Oryctolagus cuniculus: one gene and its partner. The protein of the gene in region 2 purifies or fractionates together with the protein of the main gene of each other region. This does not show direct contact. Links are inferred from orthologs where the notes say so. Each region holds a gene or a part of one and is shown on either strand. Other genes may lie near its edges.

Region 1 (4,210 bases), on a different chromosome or scaffold from region 2:
TTTGTTTGTTTGTTTGTTTGTTTGTTTTAAGATTTATTTAAAGGCAGAGTAATAGAGGGAGGGAGAGACCCAGAGAAAGATCTTCATCTGCTGGTTCACTCCCCCAAATGGCCACGATGGTCGGAGCTGGCCAGGCCAAAAACCAGAAGCTCCCACAAGGATGCAAAGGCCCAAGTACTTGAGCCGTCTTCCACTGCCTTCCCAGGCGCATTAGCAGGGAAGTAGATCTGAAGCAGAGCCGCTGAGACTTGAACCTGTGCTCTGATGCTCACTTTAACCTGCTGTGCTACAGCACTAGCCCTAGACTGTCTTATTCTTTTCCCCAGCATCTAGCATGAGGCCTGGGATATTGTTAAGTACTCTTTTTCTTGAGTAAGCTGCTTGTTGGGAATGGTGTATCCAGGAGAAAAGACAGGAGGCAGTGCTTTGTCCCATCACCAGATGAAACCCCCCCTCACCGGCCTCTGTTTTTTGCAGTGGGACCCGGCTCGGCTGAATGAATCTACCACTTTTGTGTTGGGGTCTCGAGCCAACAAGTGAGTCTAAGCTTTGGCACTGATGGAGTGGCAGCTCGGGGGTCTACTACTAGAGTTGCGCCTGCTGGAATCTTTACCACTTGTCTTTCCCTTTTCAGGGCTCTAGGGATGGGGGGCACCAGAGGAAGAATCTACATCAAGCACCCACATCTCTTTAAGGTGAGTGAGTGCCGGGAAGCAGGTGGGCCGCTGCCCTGGAGTAGGTGGCAGTGGGAATTCTGCGTGCCATGGAGAAGCTCGGGACACTCGCTGGTCTGGGAGTCGGGAGTCCCTTCTGCCATTCCCCTGTACCTTTTGTAATTTACTCAACAGCTCTGTGCCCTGGTAGCAATGGCTACTTGGCCTACATGTTTATTGTATGGCAAACATGGTTTTAAGTACAACACATTATCTCCTGGAACTATCCCTTATCTTTATTTTACAAATTTGAAAAAAGCAGAGGTCAAGAAAGACTAAGTGATTTGCCCAGAGTTACTCAGCAAGTCAGGATTCAAATCCAGGTCTGTCTACACTGAAGCCTGAGCTCTTAACCCCTACCTTACTCAGTTGTCTGTGGCGCAAGGCAGGGCTCTACCCTTCTTCCAAGGAGGGACTCCTCTCTGGAGCAGCTGTTTGAGGAAATAACAGGAGAAATCACAAATTCACTCATTGTCTTAAATGAATGTGTATTTTATCAGCCACAAAAGTATTTAAAAGAACAGAAAAATAGAAACGCATGTGTGTTCCAGACATTTTTTGTTCCTGTCCCTAAAGTTTGGTACCCCTTGCCAGAAGCTCCCAGCCCCGTTAGGGTCCCAGAATTACTGTACCTGCCACACTCTGTGCAAATTGGCAGACTTGCTTGCTCTTCTCCAGTCTTGGATCCTAGGAGTCCCAGCATCTAGAGAGGCTGGCAAGCTTGCTGCCGCTCTCTCCTCTCGGTGTCTTCACTCCTGCTGTTCTGTTTTCCTCCCCAACCCTTGTCTGCCCAACTACTCTTTAAGACCCTGAGTAGGTACTCAGGGGCAGGCGTTGTGGCGCAGGGGCTAAGCTGCTGCTTAGCCCACCAGCAACACCATAACAGAGTGTCTGGTTTGACTCCCAGGTACTCCATGCTTCCAGTTGACCTTCCTGCTAATAGGCCTGGGAGGCGGTGACTGATGGCCAGAGTACTTGGGTTCCTGCCACCCACATGGGAGACCTGGATGGAGTTCCTGGCTCCTGGCTTTGGCCCAGCCTCACATTCGCTATTGCAGCCTTTTGGGGATTAAACCAATAGATGGATGATCTGTGTCTTCCTCCTCTCTTTGTTACTCTACCTTTCAAATAAATACAAATCTTTAGGGGCCGGCATGGTGGGTAAAAGCTACCACCTGTATCGCCAGTGTCCCATACAGGTGCCAGTTCGAGTCCTGACTGCTGCACTTCTGATCCAGCTCCCTGCTAATATGCCTGGGAAAGCAGTAGAAGATGGCCCAAGTGCTTGGGTCCCTGCACCCATGTGGGAGACCCAGAAAGAAGCTCCTGGCTCCTGGCTTCAGACCAGCCCAGCTTTGGTCATTGTAGCCTTTTGGGGAGTGAACCAGAGGATGGAAGGTTCTCTCTCTCTCTCTACCTTTCAAATACATAAATAAATCTTTTTAAGCTAAATAAGTAAAAATAGTTTTAAAAAAACCCACATACCCCAAGAGATTTTTTTTTGTTATCATCTATAGATAGGATCTTGGATGGTCTGAATTCCTGTTCAGTTCTGAATTGTTCTGTCGTGTGTAAACCGGGAGTGGCAGACCAACCTTTTAGTGTCAATTAAGAGAGAATGCAGGGAAGCACTGGCTTAAGGCCTGCCACGTGGCACGGGCTCGGTAGAGGTTGATTGTTGTTAGCATAGTTTTCCAGTTCTAAGGCCCACCATTCATACTAAACTCCCAACCCACACTCTCATTCCTGATGGATAATTATTTCTGACCTTGCCCTTGCTTGTCAGGCACACACCCTCCCCACCCCCACCCCAGTCACCACTCCCTTTCTCTTTACAGTTCTCTATTATAAGCATTCTTAACCATTTAGAATCTATTTGTATTTCTTCTGGAAACTGCCAATTACATCTTGTGCCCAATTTTTCTGTCCTTCAGAAGACATTATTTGAATTTATCTTTTCCTTTTTTAGACTTTTTAAGTTATAGAAATATGACCCCATTCTTAGTGTAAAAACCTTCAGCGAGTACACTGGAGTTCCTTCACCCTTGACCCTGACTGCCCTCCACTCCAGACCACCCGCAGCCATGGCAGAGCATAAACACAGATATGGGCGTGTGTGTGTGTCCTTGTCCTGTGGGATATTTTGCTTATTATTTTTAGCTCATACATGTTGTGGTCTGGTTTTCCTTTGGGAAGCAGTAATAATCGTAATCATAGGTGTTGCAAGCCACCTCAGATGATTTATTAAAAGGGGAGGCCAGCATTGCAGTGGAGTAGGTTGCCCCCACCTGCAGTGCCAGCATCTTGTGGGTGCCAGTTTGGATCCTGGCTGCTCCACGTCCAGTCTAGCTCCTGGCTTCTGCCTGGCCCAGCCCTGGCCATTGCAACCATTTGGGGAGTGAACCAGTGAATGGAAAGTCTCTCTGTCTTCCTCTCTCTCTCTTTCTGTAACTCTGCCTTTCAAATAGATGAAATAAAACTTTAAAAAGGAGGCTGTAGTGGCTGGTGATGTGGCATAGTGGAGTAAGCCTCTGCCCACAACACAAGCGTCCCATGGGTGCTGGTTTCAGTCCCGGCTGCTCCACTTGCGATCCAGCTCCATGCCAATGCACCGGGGAAAGCAGCAGAAGGTGGCCCAGGTGCTTGGGGCCCTGCACCCATGTTGGAGACCCAGAAAAAGCTCCTGGCTTTGGCCTGGCCCAAACCTGGAAGTTGTGGCCATTTAGGGAGTGAACCAACAGATGGAAGATCTTTCTGTCTGTGTCTCCCTCTCTCTCTGTAAATCTGACTTTGAAGTAAATAAATAAATCTTAAAAAGAGGAGGCTCTAAAGTAATGGTCACCTGTCCCACTGGTTGCCAGGGAGATGTTTCGAGAAAAGAAGCAGTAGGGGGATTAGAAGTGTACTAAGTCTCAGGGAATTGGATCCCATGCCTTGGCCTCCTGGGCTTGGCTTGGCTTGCTCTGAAGGGGTTACTGGGCCTTCTGCGTCCACCAGGCTGGGTCTTACTGATCAGAACTGCAAGGCTAATGGCTCCCCTTTCACGCTGTTCTCCACAGTATGCAGCTGACCCCCAGGACAAGCACTGGCTGGCTGAGCAACATCACATGCGGGCAACAGGAGGGAAGATGGTAAGCACTGTTCCCACGCGCCACTGCCAGAGGCCACCTTCAGGGACCAAGATTCCCTCTGTCGGCGACAGCTCCTCTCCGAATCTGGAGACCCCCAAAGCCTGATACGTGTGGGAAGGAAGACTTTAAGGCCTGTTTCTCCATGGTCCCCAGGTTCCTTTCCCTGCCACTAGGGCTCCCTTTTTCTCCCTCCACGCTTCCACCCAGCCTTCGTATTTGGACCACACATTGGATCACATTAGCTTGCATAGGAATGACGGGTGAAAGACTCCACACCACTGTTCCCTCGTGTGCCACTGAGTGATCTTACTCATCAGTCACAACACCCTTCCCCCAAACACAGCTACAGGATCTTCTCTCAGTGCA
Region 2 (4,639 bases):
CTCCCGGTATCAATTCCTATAAATCAAATCCTGACAATCACCACAATATTTTAAAAAGAATGAATTGTGATTCATGGGCCTTCAAACCTTTATTACCACAAGAACATTCTCCGTGGAAGAGAAAAAAAAAGCTACTGTGACTTGATTAATGGCCAAACCAAGACAATAAAATAAATCTCATATATATATATATATATATATATATATATATACCTGAATGATTGCTTTTGGCTTCGAGGTTAGGCATGTAAATAATTTTGCCCTGAAATAAACACACATTAAGATTGTGTCAACTCCCCCAGCATATACATGCAGCAAACAGATTTTCTTTGGGGGGGGGGGAATAATAGCTAATTTGCTTAACTAATACCTAGCTAGGATCATTTGATAAGTAGCAATAATATTTAATTCACAACCAACTCAGTTCTCAAACTGACAAATATCAAGCCTTCATCTGGAAATCTGATGACAGAAGAAGAGAAAAAAAAGCAGTGTCCATCAGTTACATGGAAAGAGATTTTTTTTAACCCATGTTTTTCCCTTCTAGAACTGAGCCCATCTACAGAACTGAATAAAGCTTACACAACTTCGGTCTACCCCACCCAGTATCTCTCGATCGGAACCCAGCGCTGAAACCATCCTGGCAACGCTAAAGCTGCCAGCACCGGCAAGGCTCCTGAGGCCAGCACCAACTACTGCTGTGCAGGAACCAGGAGGCTGAGGGCCAAGGAAGCAGGCCGGGGAGGCAGCGCCTGCCGGCTACCCAGCCGGCAGCCCGGAGGACTCCTGTTCCTCTCCTTCCAGGGGGCCTGAAAACCACATTTTCTGACGCTGAACTCCTTCCTGGGGGAGGGAACCTGATGCAGAAGGCAGGTACTCACTGGGACAACACAGAACTCCTCCCCCAGAACTCTGCTCCCGGGCCTGCTGAACAACCTGCCTCGGCTTCCAGGGGGCGCGTTCCGAGCTGTCCCCCGGAAGGGTCATTCCCAAGCACGACTTCCACGCACTTGGCAAACCAACCCAGGCCGCACTGCGAGGCGCCCCGTCTCAACACGTTCGCTCCCCAGAGCTGCCCGCCGTCGGGGGCAGAACGCGGGCTCCCGCCGGCCGGCGGAAGGCACACCGAGGCACCGCAGGCGTTCCTTCAACCTGAGCACGCCGGGCGCACATGCTCCATCCAGCCCACCGCGGGCCACAGGCCGCCTGCCAGGTGCTCTCCGCCTCTGCCGGCCGGCCGGGACATGGGCGCTTTGGTTTTGGTTTTAATACCTACTTCTGCAGACCACCGGCTCCAACTTCCCGGCCTCCCAAACCGAAGTTGGGGCGCCAGGGGGCAAGCTGACCCCCACCTTGCACGTTTCTCCCATCTGGGTGGCCGCACTAACTTCTGGGGAGTACCCAGCCCCCACGGGGCCCGCAGGCGCATATACATGCACACATGCATCATGTCAGAAACCCCAAAAGGCACATCCCCAGGGTCCTGCGGTTTCTCGGCTGGAAGAATGAAGGCTTTATAACATCACAACCTTCAACTGCAAGCCCACCACTGCCACCCCCCTTTAGGCCGGGGTTGCCAATTACAGCGGCCACCTCACCCCTCCCCCTTGCTGGGATGCCGTGCAGCCCAGCGAGGGAAGAGGGGAGCAGGCCCTGCGTACACACGGAAAAGTAAAGCGGCGGGGGGCCAGGTGGGGGGCATATGTCCTTCTCTGCACACACACCCCCCCTCCGTCTTCTCACGGAGCATCCCCCGACTAACGTTTTCAAAATGAAACTTAATAAGCTTTTTGCCTACCTTGGCTGTTTCTGCAACAAGTGCATGGGCAATCCGACCACAAGACCAGTCTCCTCTTGGGGGGTGGGCCGGGGGGCGAGCAGAGCTGATGGAGTAATTTCAATATTAATTTATGTCAGCGGCCTCCTTGCAGAGCTACTCACTTACAGTACTGCCCTCAGCCTGTAAACAAATATCGCTCCGCCAGGAAACATACTCCCCAGATGCAAGCCCCTCTCCCCAGCAGGGAGCCCGGCCTCTCGCCCTCTCCCCCCGCCCCCAACAGCGTGCTCCCCCACCCCACCCCGGGTGGGAATCTCAGGGTCGCCAGAGCACCACCCCACCGCCACCACCCCAGCAAGAAACTTAACTCGGTCCGTGTACGCCGCCACCCTCCCTTCAGGAAATCTACTCTCCATATGCATTCAGCCTCCCCGCAGGAAATCTGCTCCCCCCTCCCCCCTTCTATATACATGCACCCCTCCCTCGCCTCCTCCCCACGCGCCCTCCCCGGCCAGAAACTTACTAGCGAGCAAGCGTGCAGGCTCTCCCGATCCTGGAAACTTACTCCCAGATACAGCGCCCGCCAGCCCCCCGCCCCGGCCCTGCTCCCCTGCCTGCCCTCCGCCGCAAGCAACTCCAAACTCTCCGCATTCAGCCACTCTCCCTCCCCGGTGGAAATTGGCAGCGCGGGGCTGCGCGCGTGCAGCCACCCGCCCCTTCAGGAAACTTACTCCCCATCTGCATGCACCGCCTCTCAGCCATCGCTGCTAGGCAAGGGGGTGTGCTGGGGAGACAGAAATACATATGTATCTCTCGCCCCTCCCCCGGCCGCAGCCCACTCGGGCCCGGGCCGCCGCAACCTGGCCTTACCTTGTGCATCGCTCCCCACCCTCGCCCCCTCCCTCGGCCCTCCTTCTCCGCTCCCCGACACCCCCCCCTTTTCACCCATTACCCACCCCTAGCAACCGTTCCCAAGCTCCTCTCGGCCTTTTTTTTTTTTTTTAAATCCAGGATGCAAATTCCTCCCCTGTCAGCAAATCGACTGTCAAATTATTTTCTTGCAAAAGGAGAAAGGCGGGGTGTTGGGGGGGTAGTCGAAGCACGGCGTTGGGGGGGGGGGGGCGGGGGAAGGGAGGGAGGGAGAGGGACAGAGGAGGGGAGAGATATCCCTCCGCAGAGCTGGGTCTGGTCGCGGGCGGGGAAGCAGGAAGTAAGGTGTCCAGCGCCACGGCCGGCGGGTCCTCCGCCTCGGCCCCCGCCCGCAGGCCCTGTCCCCCGGGGCGCCGCGCTGCACCGGGCGCGGGCCGCCGGGTGCATTGTTCGCAGCCTCCCCAGCGGTGCGCTGCCGAGTTTATTTGGGCGCCTTGCGTGTGCGTGAGATTGCACCTTTTGTAGCCCGGCAAGTCTGGACGTGGATGGGACGGCGGACTTGGGCCCAGTTGCGGCCCCGTGCCGGACCTGTCAGCCCCGCGGTGCCGCAGGCTCTCCGGCATGGCCGGAAAATCGAGGCCCGGGAGCCGGCAGCGTGGCCGGGAAGCTGCCGCCTTAGACCCGGACCAGTGCAGGATTGCTTCCTGCGTAACCGTCCCGGTTATTGTAACGCGCTTTTCAATCTAAGGACGAGGATGGCGGGGAGGCAGGGCGGGAGGGGGGAGGGTGTGCTTTATTTTATATATATATATAGGTTTGCAAAGATGCCAAGGTGTGGGCGGGCTGCGAGGAGACAGTCCTCGCCTACCCCCGCCGCACCCGGGCCTCAGTGGGGCTCGAGAGGGGCTGGGGCTCCGGGGAAGGGGCTGGAGGTTCGCGGAGCGCGCGGCTCCATCCCTCCGCCCCGATGGGGGCGGGGAGGGGGCGCTGCAGCCGGCGCTGGCTGGAAAGGCAGCTCTCTGGGGAGGGGTCTCCGTCTCGGCGGCGCAGCAGGCCGGGGAGGGAGGTTGCCTAGGAGAGGGGCCGGGGCCGGCGGCGAGGCGAGGGGCGGGGGCGCGGGTGCGGCCGGGCGCGCGCTCGCCCCTCCTCGCGCGCCATGACTGTGGAACGTGGTGCCGGGGAGGAGGGCCGGCCGCCGGGGGCCGCCCGGGGCTGCTCGGCATTGGTGCGGAAACCCGAGCCCGGAGTCGCTCCCTTGCGCTGTCTCCTCCTCCTCTGCGGGGGAAACCGCTGCACCCAGCCCGAGAGCAGCTGCGAGCAGGGGGCAGGGCGCGGGCTGAAAGGCGAGCGGAGGGTTCCAGCCTCGACGTCGCGGGCCTGGGGAGAGGCGGGGTGCTGGAGGGGGGGGTGAGGGCAGAACAGCCCCTGGGTCCCGCAAAGGCGCGCCCGCCAGCGGGATCTGAGACCGGGGAGAACTCAGCCCCGTGGCCCCAACCTCTCCCGGCGGCTTTGCGGGTCCCGGGAAACGCGAGCCTGGGAGAGTTGAGTGAGCAGATCACCTCCAGCGGGGTTCGAGGCGTGTGTCCCCTGGAGGACCCGCGAGACAGCGAGCGGGTTTTTTTGCACGAGGGAAAGTTAACACCGTCCTTTTCTCCGAGAAGGGAAATCGCTGCGCCCCTCTCCCCAAAGCCCGCTCCCGGGCCCTTCGCCGCCTTCCCTTTCCCACCCCCACCCGGGAGCATGGGTGTGGACAGGGCGCGGGAAGGCTGTATGGGAGCTTAAAGCATGAGGTCATGGGCGCGGGGGAGGCTGCCGCCAAAAGCCGCCGAGGTTTTTGTGCTTTTTGAGGGGTAACGGTTCTCCATCGTCAGCGGTGGGCTCGCCTCACCCTGCCAGGGCTGGAGCACCTGAGCCGGAGAGAACGCGAGCGAGGAGCGCTGGCCGGCGCCCAGCTCTCTATGGAGCCGGTCCGCGCCTGCCAGGAGAGTG

What was found. Proteins that work in one complex are often made in the same cells at the same time.
Region 1: the proteins of TRERF1 (region 2) and DNTTIP1 purify together in Homo sapiens (affinity purification with mass spectrometry; 3 studies listed by BioGRID and IntAct, with this or other methods). This does not show direct contact. The link is inferred for Oryctolagus cuniculus from reciprocal best matches to the Homo sapiens genes TRERF1 and DNTTIP1.

What each region holds. Positions count from the first base shown.
Region 1 is NC_091442.1:13,583,620-13,587,829, reverse strand, and holds part of DNTTIP1 (deoxynucleotidyltransferase terminal-interacting protein 1), read left to right. Parts: intron 1-477; coding exon 478-536; intron 537-634; coding exon 635-695; intron 696-3,772; coding exon 3,773-3,844; intron 3,845-4,210. UniProt on the Homo sapiens protein: Increases DNTT terminal deoxynucleotidyltransferase activity (in vitro). Also acts as a transcriptional regulator, binding to the consensus sequence 5'-GNTGCATG-3' following an AT-tract.
Region 2 is NC_091436.1:127,490,437-127,495,075, reverse strand, and holds the start of TRERF1 (transcriptional-regulating factor 1), read right to left. Parts: upstream 2,976-4,639; 5' UTR 2,737-2,975; intron 2,684-2,736; exon of another isoform or gene 2,512-2,683; intron 2,490-2,511; exon of another isoform or gene 2,304-2,489; intron 2,223-2,303; exon of another isoform or gene 2,149-2,222; intron 1,884-2,148; 5' UTR 1,799-1,883; intron 1-1,798.